Linked DNA regions of Arabidopsis thaliana. The protein of the gene in region 2 interacts with the protein of the main gene of each other region in a pairwise test. Each region holds a gene or a part of one and is shown on either strand. Other genes may lie near its edges. The genes, in order: CNX2 and NodGS.

Evidence for each region.
Region 1: the proteins of NodGS (region 2) and CNX2 interact in a two-hybrid assay, tested with the Arabidopsis thaliana proteins (one large-scale study listed by BioGRID).

Annotation. Positions count from the first base shown.
Region 1 is NC_003071.7:13,583,477-13,588,723, forward strand, and holds CNX2 (cofactor of nitrate reductase and xanthine dehydrogenase 2), read right to left. Parts: upstream 3,228-5,247; 5' UTR 3,009-3,227; coding exon 2,943-3,008; intron 2,732-2,942; coding exon 2,138-2,731; intron 2,041-2,137; coding exon 1,873-2,040; intron 1,778-1,872; coding exon 1,586-1,777; coding exon of another isoform or gene 1,553-1,585; exon of another isoform or gene 1,412-1,552; coding exon 1,343-1,411; intron 1,243-1,342; coding exon 1,159-1,242; 3' UTR 1,147-1,158; intron 978-1,146; 3' UTR 545-977; downstream 1-544. Other genes in the region: LCR76 (low-molecular-weight cysteine-rich 76), read left to right, coding at 1-17, 348-544; LCR75 (low-molecular-weight cysteine-rich 75), read left to right, coding at 4,233-4,305, 4,530-4,711. UniProt on the Arabidopsis thaliana protein: Catalyzes the cyclization of GTP to (8S)-3',8-cyclo-7,8-dihydroguanosine 5'-triphosphate.
Region 2 is NC_003074.8:19,705,049-19,712,003, forward strand, and holds NodGS (nodulin/glutamine synthase-like protein), read left to right. Parts: upstream 1-1,771; 5' UTR 1,772-2,019; coding exon 2,020-2,181; intron 2,182-2,385; coding exon 2,386-2,735; intron 2,736-2,823; coding exon 2,824-2,939; intron 2,940-3,016; coding exon 3,017-3,122; intron 3,123-3,264; coding exon 3,265-3,421; intron 3,422-3,493; coding exon 3,494-3,589; intron 3,590-3,655; coding exon 3,656-3,704; intron 3,705-3,833; coding exon 3,834-4,105; intron 4,106-4,220; coding exon 4,221-4,393; intron 4,394-4,478; coding exon 4,479-4,599; intron 4,600-4,682; coding exon 4,683-4,735; intron 4,736-4,827; coding exon 4,828-4,957; intron 4,958-5,034; coding exon 5,035-5,180; intron 5,181-5,250; coding exon 5,251-5,439; intron 5,440-5,515; coding exon 5,516-5,748; intron 5,749-5,831; coding exon 5,832-5,974; intron 5,975-6,077; coding exon 6,078-6,140; 3' UTR 6,141-6,412; downstream 6,413-6,955. Other genes in the region: AT3G53170 (LOW protein: PPR containing protein), read right to left, coding at 1-787, 874-1,183, 1,293-1,369.

The DNA.
Region 1 (5,247 bases), on a different chromosome or scaffold from region 2:
ACTTGTTGTCGCACCAGGTATACAAATCCTAAACAAATCTACTAAACTATACGTTATAAACTTATACTTTATTTCCCTTGTTTAGTTTAACATTTGTTTTTATGCATACACTATTTAGTTCAAACTATTATGATAATGAAAAAACAACACTACAACTTATCTCATACTTTGCCATAGAATATTGAAAATCACATATTTACATAAACACATATTAGGAGTTAGGAGCAATAAAAAGATATTGGTTGGTTATAAGTTATCAACAAACAAAAAGCTTTGGTCATTCTTGATTATATTTATGGTTATAAATTTGATTTCTTATTGAATAATAAAATGCCATGATCTTATAGGTATGAAGATGGTTGTTGAAGGACAACCACAATTGTGCGAAACGAAAAGCTTAAACTACAGGGGGTTGTGCTTGAAATGGAGGAGTTGCAAGCGAGTATGTATTAGCGAAGGTTTCCCTGATGGTCGATGCAAAGGATTCTTCAACAACAAATGTGTTTGCAGGAAGCCTTGTGCTCTTCTTTCTACCGAAAACTAGACATTATATTGTTATGAATAAGCCATTAATAAGATACCTATTTTTATGTAAGCTAATAAAACAGCAGAGTACAAGTCATGTATCTCAAAACTCTATTATACAATAAGCTTTGATCAATATCGCAAGTGAATTTGTTGTTGTTATCAAATTTAAGATTTTAAAATTCTTAACATAATAAAAGCTTATAGTTGATCTTTTTGGCCATAAATAAGAAAAGTAATTGGACTGAAAAGATTCGTGTGGAAATTCTGAGTTCCTGTACAGTGTCTGTTACGTATACAGAGAAGAAACAGTTTGAGAAACTCTTCAGTCTTCTTGTTCTTGTTTGCAAAAAAGTTTGTCACAGTCTCACAGAGTTGGGAGCAGCAGATAGATTCTTACAAGATATAAAACTCAAATGTTCCTTGTAGTGTTTTCCAGGAACTTCACCAACCTGTAAAGAGAAATATGACGCGATGAGTCACGTGAATCAAAACGCAGAGTTACACTAAACGGATCAATGCATCAAAGACTTTGTTACTGAGATCAAGTGTCAAAACCCTTGAATCGACACAAAGTATCCAATTTTTATGAGTTACATAACAATGGATTAAAGAACTTACGTTCACCGGAGCTTAGCCACCAATGTGTATCATTGGTCTATTAGCTGTTTTAGCAATGTCAAGCATTCCAGCGTGTGCAGCTTTCTTTCTCTTCACCTGAAACCCATTGTGAATTTTAAGTCAATACAGAAACGAAAAACAGAGGAAAGATTTCTTGACTGGTTCGTAAAATCAGATGAAGCAACTAAATACTTACAGCAGCGCCTATAATTTCCCTTAGCGCCTCATCATCAGCACCAGACCGGAGAGGATCTCTCAGACTAACCTGTTCACAAGAAATCATCGGGCGAAACAAAATGATCGTCACATTATTGAGAAGCAACCACGAATACTCATGTTTACCGGTACTCAAGTTATTGCACACTTGTACATGTTCGCAGCCACTTGAATCAACAGTTACTGACTTTTAGCCATGGAAAAATTTGGAAATGTACTTTACCTCTGAAGGACCAAACAAGCAAACTTTGAAGTTCCCATCTGCAAGAAGTCTCAATCTATTGCAGCCAGCACAGAAGTGTTCTGTCATGGATGTGATGAAAGAAACAGAACCGCAATGCCCATCGATCGTAAAGTTCTTAGCTGTTTCAGTTGGGTGATCTTGCATTCGTTTTATGCTCGGAAACCTCTTGACCTGTTACCATAACAACTGAAACCAATCATGAAAATGCTCAAGGAAAAGTTGAGTAATCTCAAAAAAGGCTAAACATTGAGAGAATTCTACCTTACCACTTTATCCATCACTTCTGCATAAGGTACAAGTTTCTTCACATTCCAAACATTTCCATCAAATGGCATAAACTCGATGAACCGGACATTGATTGGCTTGTCGCGTGTCAACTCAACAAAATCACAAATCTCATCATCATTCAATCCCCTCATGATAACACAATTGACCTGTCAAAACCAAGAACGATTTGCAAAAACTCTTGAACATCAAATATCGTTCTGCTACATTCAAACAGAAAACATGAAGAAGGATTAATAAACATACTTTCACAGGATTGTATCCAAGCTCAATAGCAGTATCAATCGATTTCATAACCCTATCATGCCCTTTACGTCTAGTCAGAAACTCAAACTTTGCTGGAACCAGAGTATCCAAGCTGATATTCAGCGAATCAAGTCCGCATTCCTTAAGCCTTGGTAGTTTTTTCGCAAGAGTGATACCGTTGGTAGTAATAGCCAAATTCTTCAACCCTTTTAAACTAGACAACTGCAGACAAATCTCTTCGATATCTTTCCTAACCGTAGGCTCGCCACCAGTCAACCGAATCTTGTTAACACCAGCAGAAACAAAAAGACCAGCCAACCTAACAATCTCAGACTGTGACAACAACTGAGGCTTAGGAGTAAGTTCCACACCTTCAGACGGCATACAATACTGACACCGGAGATTACACCGCTCAGTCAAAGATATCCTCAAGTAGGTATGTAAGCGACCAAATTTATCAATCAACATGTCAGAGACAGGATTGTCTTTTATCTGATCAACTTGATGAGCTGCATAACTACTGCTAAATAAACGCTCACTAGTAGTAGTAGTAATGGTTCTCGTTACTGAACCTGAACCAACTTCAGAACCAACCTGTTTAAGAATTCCAAATAAGCATTGATTCTCTAAATAAAAGAACACAAAATGAATTCATTCAGCTCTTAAATCCCTAACCTTTACACTATATAAGCAAATACTAGTAGCTACAGGAATAAATCAATTCGAAAAAGCAACCAACTTGAGTGGGAGAAATCGAAACCCATTGTAGCAGAGAAGTGAGAATTAGTAAAGTTGGGAAATTTACCAATAAGAAGTTGGAATTCTTGAAACCCAAGTGGCAATCAGTAATTTTGGAGAAGCACCTCCTCATCGTTAACAACACTGTAGAGAAGATCGAAAGAGAATTTCTGAGAAAGGAGGAGGAAGTCAGAAAATATAATCAAAAGTGAGAGAAGGAGGAAGAAAAGAGATGACCTTTGGTAAACGGAGAGAGTCTTTGTTCAAAATAAACGACTACGTTGAGAAAATGGAGACGGCACTCTCAAGTAGAGAGAGAGAGAGAGACTAGAGAGAGTTTGGCTAAAAGCCTAAACAAAAAAAAAAAAAACATGAAACTCTTTCGTCTTTTCTGATGATATCTGTCGGTCTCGCCGGTTACCGGTTATAGGCAATCAAACCGACCTCAATTGGTAAATTTACTGGTCCGAGTGAAATTCAGATTGCATCTGGATCGGATATGTCATTAGAATAATAATTTATTAACTGTGCTTACATCATTGTTTAATGTAATAAACTATTAAATTTTACAATCTGCGAATTATGTAACAACCAAACTCCAAACATTTGTACTAAATTTTTTATTTCTCTGTATATTGATATTATGTTAAAACTTTATAGATAACCAAATTTATGATTGATTGATTAAAACGATGGTTTCCTATCTAAGCAAGTTAGTGATAATGTAATCTAAAGTTAATTTTAGGCTGTGTGACTGGCTTTGATCAATTTTGTACGTAACTTTGTTTTATTGGATAAAGATATAAACTCAAAAGTCAAAACACACCAAAATCTAAACTACAAATATATCATTATAAAGGAATTTTTTTTGGAAGAACTTATGGAGGAATGGTTTTTTGCATATCTGTCTAGCTTCACATTAGTCTAAATTCATCTATGATATTACTACCACTTTGTAATTTTCTTAACACTCTATAGTCTATACGTTCATTGTATCAGTCCCCTCGGCCCACTTTAACTATGTTGATTCAATCTCTTCTCTTATGGTAGATTGTCTATTCATAGTGGTTAAAGAAAGAAAAAATCATTAGCATATATCTTTAACCAGTACAGTACAGTACTAGAGATATATATAAACAACAAAATATTCTCGTATGTGTATTTGCAGATATTTTTCGTCAAGATCAGATTCTTTTCCACATATTCCTATTGTTCTTCATTATCGTATGCATACGTTGATATACCAAAAAAGCTTTGTGCACATGTTTACTATAAATGCGACATTCTCACGCTAATTTTCAATATCAACAATTCTCCCCACGTATTCATATCGCTTAACTAGTTAGTAGGAAATAAAATGAAGAGCTCTACTACCTCTATGCAGTTAATTCCAACACTTTTCTTCTTAACCATTCTTCTTGCTTCACCAGGTATGCAAATCTAGTTTCTCACAAACTCACAATATTAAAAAGTTACTAAAACATATAATATACGCTTATATTTTAATATTTAATGCATGGGGTTTTACGCATCTACTTGAATAATTTAATATTTGATGATATTGAAGAATAAGTCAATTATTGATTGTTTATATGATTATAATTATATTATTATTCAATTATTTATTGAATAATGATAATGTATTATATTATAGATATAGAGATGGTTGAAGGACAACAAATGTGTGAAGCAAAGAGCTTGGACTGGAAGGGTATGTGTCTGAAATGGAGGAATTGTCGCCAAGTATGCATTAGCGAAGGTTTCACTGACGGTCGTTGCAAAGGATTCACCCGCAAATGCATTTGTAGCAAACCTTGTTTTGTCCTTCCTAATTAAGTTCTTGTTTCTCATTATTTTGATATTAAAATTTTAAAATAATAACACAATTCATTATTGATTGATTAAAAAGATTATGGTTTTTTAATTTATATGTAAGCTGATATAAAAAAAAAACTCAGTTTTAAGCAATGATTTTCTCTAAGTTTGTTCTAAAATATCATTTTTCAATACATGAAATACTAAAAAAGAAAGTTTGGATTCATTTCCTACACAAATTTATGGTTTTATAAATGTACAAAGAATATTGAACTAATATTTCATGTTCCGATTATATATAAGTTCCCATTTTCAATCGATGAGATTAATAAAGAAACTTTCTGGAGTATATATTTAACATTTTCGATTTTATATTATGAAGCTAAAGTATGTACAGTATGTTGGTGAAAAAACATGGATCGTTAAATAAAAAAACATATTAAGGAGGAGAACGACCGAGCATCTTCTAAAGAAGATTAAAGCATAAGAACATTGGAATAAGGAAGGTGAAGTATTGTCGTGGACATTCCTGAGTGGGAAGACTCACCATTACATAC
Region 2 (6,955 bases):
TTGAGTTTGGTTTCACTCCTTGATACTTCATTTTCCTGAATACATCATCCATTTTCTCAATTCTTCCAGCTTTTCCAAACGTCTCAATCACTATATTGTAAGTGACAGTCGTCAGGGAGAAGAACCTTTTCTCCATAAAATCCATAACAGAGCACATCTTCTTATACATACCAGCTTTTCCAAATGACAGGATCAGTATGTTAAATGTAGTGATATCCGGTTGCACCCCCATCAGCTGGAACCGACTATACCAGCTCTCCATCTTCCTCATGTTGCGACCATTTCCATATGACCCAATGATCGAGTTAAGCGTACAAACATCCGGAAGAGAATCTCCGTCCTCGATCATATCAGCCAGAACACTTTCCATTTCCTCAAACATTCCAGCCTTTCCATACCCATCAATAATAGTATTGTAAGTAACCGTGCTGCATCCAACTCCAAGATACGACATCTCAAGAACGATACTTTTAACCAGATCAAACCGACCCAGTTTGCAGCAACAACTGATGAGAACAGTAAAGGTGAACACATCTGGCTTGCAGTCACTAACAGATTTCATATACTCAAGTGTAGAAAACGCCTTGTCTAGAAGCTCGCTTTTGCCATAAACAGAGATAAGAGAGGTATACACATCAATGGTTGGTTTCAATCCTTCAGATAACATAACTTCGAAAAGCAAGCTGGCTTGATCAGGCTGTTTACAATTCCCAAGCACTTTAAACAGCTTTGTATAAGTTTTGCATCTTGGTTCATACCAATGCTGCTTCCTAAGAAGATTGAAAATCTATAAAGTAGAGAAACAGGAAAGTGAATTCTATCGAATCTATGTCCAAGTATCTGTAAGAATGAAGAAGGATTAAAGAGCTGTACCTTGAGAGCAGACTGCCATCGATTCTCTTTGATAGCTTCGTCAAGAGCTTCTAGAACAGCTTTTGGCCATAAAGTTAAGTACTTTTCGGAATTGGCTTTCCTCTCAATGCCCTTCACAGCAGCATCTGTTCTCAGAATCCGAGACAATTCTTTCTTAGGATCTACTTGGTGTCTTGTTGAGATCAAACCAGAATTCATTTTCTCTGTACGTTCGTTGGGGACCTTTGTCGAACACATTGTGGGCGTTATTGAAATAGTTGGTATACACCGAAAATAAACAGGGGAAGATATATGTTGCTGAACCACGCTTCTGCAAGAATGAGAAACAGAGAAAGATAGATTTAATATAAACACAACTGAAGAATTAAAGAAACGTAAAATTCAAAACAGTATGATTGTATGAAATATGAGAATGTTACCGAGAAAAACCAAGTTGTGCGATCTCATTGGCGTACGCGGAAGTAGTTCCTTGAACAGGATTTTGTATCAATGCCATCGAAGAAAAATGGTAGAAAGATAAGGTGGAGAAAAAGAAACTGCAAATTTTCTGGGTAGAAAGCAGAGCTAGAAGACGACGACGATACCGTTGTTTTTCCTTCGTTTTTTTCTTCTTCTCCGGTTTGGTGTAGCTTCTCTTCGGTTTGTAAAATATAATGAAATGGTTTTAGTTTTGATTTGGATGCCGGTTTAATTTGGATTTACAAAATTAAAAATTTAGCATTAATCAGTTTTTTCTTGTCCGGTTTAAAGGATTGGATTGATGAAGGAAGAACCAAATGGAGCTTTTTCCAATTTAATTTTGAATTCGAATTTGTTAAAACGAGATTGTCCTTGGCAAGGAACCGGAATTTGGAAAATGAAAAACCAAGAACACAGTTGAAAGTTATCCACACTAGTTAGGACACGTGGAGGCTAATGTATTTCACGTGGACACGTGCTCATCACTCTCCTCTAAACGCCGTCGTGAAGTTTAAAGGTCAGAGACATCGGCCACCGACCAAATCAGACAAGGAAAAGTCAACGATTTGATTGGATCTTCTTCACTTATGCTTTAAAACCGTTCCTGTAATAAACTGTGAAGATTGTAAGAAGATTAACACGAATCAAGAACATCGAACTGTTGACTTTAGACAGAGAGAGACGGAGATGGAGTTTAGTGAGTTAAAGGAAGCAATAGAGAAGATAGAGCTCGTTGATGCTCACGCACACAACATTGTCTCTCTTGACTCATCTTTTCCGTTCATCGGAACTTTCTCCGAGGCTGCCGGCGACGCTTTAACCTTCGCTCCTCATTCTCTCTCCTTCAAGGTACACGACGATACCAAGTGTTTTTGCTCTAGTTAGTTTTCGTTTGAATCAGATTCTAATTAATGAAAACGTTAGCTTAAAGTTTCCTAATTAGTCTCAAAAGTATTAGTTAACTAAAGTTTCGAGTGTTACTCAAAAGATGTTGACTTGTTTAGGAATCTCGTGAAGTTGGTATGAATGTTTTTGGTTGTATGAATGAAACAGAGGAACTTGAGGGAGATTGCTCAACTTTATGGCACTGAAGTATCTTTAGAAGCGGTTGAGGAACATCGTAAAACCTCGGGTTTGGATTCTTTTACTTCCAAGTGTTTTAAAGAAGCTCGAATCTCTGCTCTCCTCATTGATGATGGATTAAAGCTAGACAAGAAACATGATATTGAATGGCATAGAAACTTTGTTCCATTCGTTGGTAGAGTGTTGCGTATCGAAACTCTTGCCGAGCAAATCCTCGAAGAGGAGTGTCCTGGTGGTTATTTCTATGGTTCTGAGAGTACTGAACCGCCTGTTTGGGATTTAGATTCTTTCACCAAAACCTTTGTTGAAAGATTAAATTCATATCCTTTTATCTTTGCTTTTTTAATACACGCTTAATGATTGTGACTATACTCACTAGTATTGGTTAACCTTGACTACTTCGGTCACGCTTGTTCCAGAGATTGTTGCTTTGAAAACTATTGCTGCATATCGTAGCGGTTTGGATATTGATACTTATGTGAGTAAAGAAGTTGCTGAGAATGGCCTTGTTGAAGTCTTGCGAGGTAAGATGGTTGTGCTTGGTCTATCAAGAAGTAACATAGTTGTTGTCTGATCACCTTAAAATCTAATATTGCTGCAGCTGGAAAGCCTGTCCGCATAGGAAACAAGGGCTTGATTGACTACATCCTTACCATTAGTTTGGAGGTCGCTGTGCGTCGCGACTTGCCCTTGCAGATTCACACCGGGTATGCAAGATTTGATCAACTATATGATTGATGTTAGTAAAGTCTGATCTTTTTATCAAACAAACCTTACACAGAAACAGAAACTCATGCTCAGAGGTTTGTAGTAATGAAAATTCTCCTTTTCTTTTGTTGTTTGAGCCAGTTTTGGTGACAAGGATTTGGATTTGAGGTTGTCGAATCCTCTTCACCTTAGAACCCTTCTTGAAGACAAAAGATTTGGAAAGTGTCGTATAGTTCTTCTTCATGCAGCTTATCCATTCTCAAAGGAAGCATCCTTTCTGTCTTCAGTTTATCCTCAGGTTTTTCGTCATCCCATTTCAATTATCTGTAAAATCATGCCTAGTCATTAACTTATTTTCTTGTTCCTTAAGGTTTACCTTGATTTCGGCTTGGCGGTTCCAAAGCTTAGTGTCCATGGTATGGTTTCTTCAGTTAAAGAGCTCCTTGACTTAGCATCAATAAAGAAGGTAAAATTTATTTTACTTGCATTATCTTTGTTATTGTTCATGAGTAACCATAAGATATTATTGCAGGTTATGTTCAGCACTGATGGGTATGCATCTCCTGAGACCTACTATTTAGGTTAGCTCAAGTTTCTACCTCTTTTCTATAGTTTGTAACATACTTATATATGTTCCAATCCTGTTTCTAAGCTTTGGCACTTGAAATCGTCTTGCTTCAGTCTTGAACATAGCTCGCTGTTTTTTGCAGGTGCAAAGAAAGCACGTGAGGTTATCTTCTTAGTTCTGAGTGATGCTTGTGCCAGTGGTGATCTCTCACTCATGGAAGCTATTGATGCAGCTAAAGACATATTCTCACGAAATTCTATTGGATTTTATAAGCTTAATATAGACACAGATTCTTCTAGTCCACAAAATATAATATCTCCCAAATTGAAGATAAAGGAGCCTGATGTTCAAGAAGATAGTAGTTCTTTTGTACGCATTATTTGGGTTGATACATCTGGACAACAAAGATGCCGTGTGAGTTTTTTTTTTTTGGTTTCTTCTAAAGAAAAAACCTCTGTTTCCCACCTCAACGATTTTTCCTTAGAAGCACAAAAACTTAACTAGAATTCTGTTTATTGTATTGTTTCAGGCTGTTCAAGCGCAGCGTTTTAACAGAAGTGTGAAGAAGAACGGCGTTGGTCTGACCTTTGCATCAATGGGGATGACTTCATTTACTGATGGACCAGCAGAAGAGTCTAAATTGACAGGTGTGGGTGAGATTAGACTTGTTCCAGATCTATCAACCAAGCAGACAATACCTTGGTACTTTACTCGTGTTCATTCTCTTTGGAGTTAATTTTACAGATGTTTCTTTCTTAATTGTTTCCGTATCATATTTTATCATTAGGACGAAGCAAGAGAGCATGGTTTTAGCTGATATGCAATTGAAGCCTGGTGAAGCATGGGGGTACTGTCCACGAGAGACCTTAAGAAGGGTCGCAAAAGTTCTCAAAGATGAATTTGACTTGGTAAGAAATCTCCATATAGCCATTCTACGAAAACTTTTATTTGCTTTTTGGTTGCTTAAGCTCAAATCTTCCTTGGCTTTTAGGTAATGAACGCTGGTTTTGAGAATGAGTTTTATCTCCTCAAGAACGTTGTGCGGTATGCGACTATATATTTCTTGAATACCGGTTTCTTTGTTCAATCCAATCATTTTCACAATCTTAACACTTGTTCTGTCCATTTTTTAAAAGGGAAGGGAAAGAAGAGTATATGCCTTTTGACTTTGGTCCTTACTGTGCCACATCCTCATTCGATGCTGCATCTCCGATCTTCCATGATATTGTACCCGCACTCGAGTCCTTGAACATCGAAGTTGAACAGGTTACAAATAATTCAAAAATCCCTCATAATGATCAGTCTGCAACATGCTTCTTGACATGTATGAAATTTTTTCATAGTTTCATGCTGAATCCGGGAAAGGTCAGTTTGAAGTATCTCTCGGTCACACCATTGCATCCCATGCTGCCGACAACTTGGTCTACACACGTGAAGTTATAAGATCGGTTGCAAGGAAACAGGGATTGCTCGCAACCTTTGTTCCAAAGTATGTCAGTCTCTCCCACCAAATTATTCGTTGTAACTGCAAATTTTTAACATATGTGTTTTTTCTTCAGGTATGATTATTGTGACATTGGTTCTGGATCACATGTGCATCTAAGTCTTTGGAAAAACGGCGAAAATGTCTTCCCGGCATCTAATAACTCATCTTCTCATGGAATCTCTTCCGTTGGAGAAGAGTTCATGGCCGGAGTTCTATTTCATCTTCCATCAATCTTAGCTATTATAGCTCCACTCCCAAACAGGTAACTCGAAAACCGTACTTTTCGAGTAATTTCCTCAATTGTTATTAAAAGTTGTGTGTGTCACTTAAATTTCCAGCTACGACCGAATCCAACCTAATACATGGAGTGGAGCATTCCAATGTTGGGGCAAAGAAAACCGCGAAGCAGCGTTAAGAGCAGCTTCTCCACCAGGAACTCCTGATGGTTTAGTTACTAACTTTGAGATAAAGTCTTTTGATGGCTCTGCAAATCCTCACCTTGGTTTGGCTGTTATAATGGCTGCTGGTATTGATGGTCTCCGGCGACATCTTCAACTTCCTACTCCAATAGGTAACTAAAAACTTATGTTATTCATTCTCATGTATATGTAGTGTTAATATGAAGCTTGATCTTGAGTTGTTCGGATGGAACAGATATAAATCCGGCGGATGTGGCTGCTACATTGAACAGACTTCCGGAAACGCTCTCAGAAGCTGTTGAAGCTCTGGACAAAGACAAAGTTCTCCACGATTTGCTCGGACAAAAGCTTTTAGTTGCCATAAAAGGAGTCCGTAAGGTAACACTATAGTCTTTTAGTTTCCCATTAGATTCTCAGTGGTAACAAAGTACATTAGCACTAATCTATTGTTTTTGTCTTTTTAAATTTTTTTGTGTAACAGGCTGAGGTCGAGTATTATTCGAAGAATCCGGATGCATATAAGCAACTCATTCACCGATACTAATCCTTTGAGCATCTCTATGATGATTGTTGGATCATTTGGTTTTATTGTGGACTTTGTGTCACATGAAGGGTCGTATTTGCAAAATACTTGACATAAAGATGTGGTTCAGAAAATTAATAAACTAAATTTCATATTTCGAGACGCATGCTCATGCTGGAGTACTATTTGTATTTCTTACTTTTTCGTCCCATGCTTTCAAAAGCCTCAAGAATATACAGAGTATTTTCAATAATACGGAGTAGTTCTTAATCATTTACATTTGTCTATGAATTGAATTTGACTACTAATACTCGGAAACAAAAAAATGATTGTAGTATTAGGAGCGCAAATACCCTTTAACCATTGTTCTTTCCATGTTCTTAGTCCGGCTATTGTTATCTAGGTAGGTGCCTGATCCCTTTTTTTCAAATCTTTCTTATTCATTACTTTGACTAATTAACCTATTTAATCATATTTAATCTCCCTTTAATCTGCAAACTAAAGCACATGTTTTTTTTTATGAAAGAAAAGGTTAGTATGACATTCTTTTGGTAAATCTCATCATATTATTTATTTAATTTTAAGAAATTGGAGTTTAAAGTGTAATTAAGTTATGCTACCTAGCTAATTTCCTTAAAATATGAACGATAAGTATAGAAATTAAAGTAAAGATTAGGTTTATACGGTACGCTTATTATGCTCAAACAAGTGGACGAACAAAATCCATCTCCATGTGACTATGGAAGAGAACTTATTAATAAGTCCAAATTTTTTTCTTGCAAACTTTATGATTTCATTCACACTAGACAAATTAATTGTTCGTAAGAAGGTATACG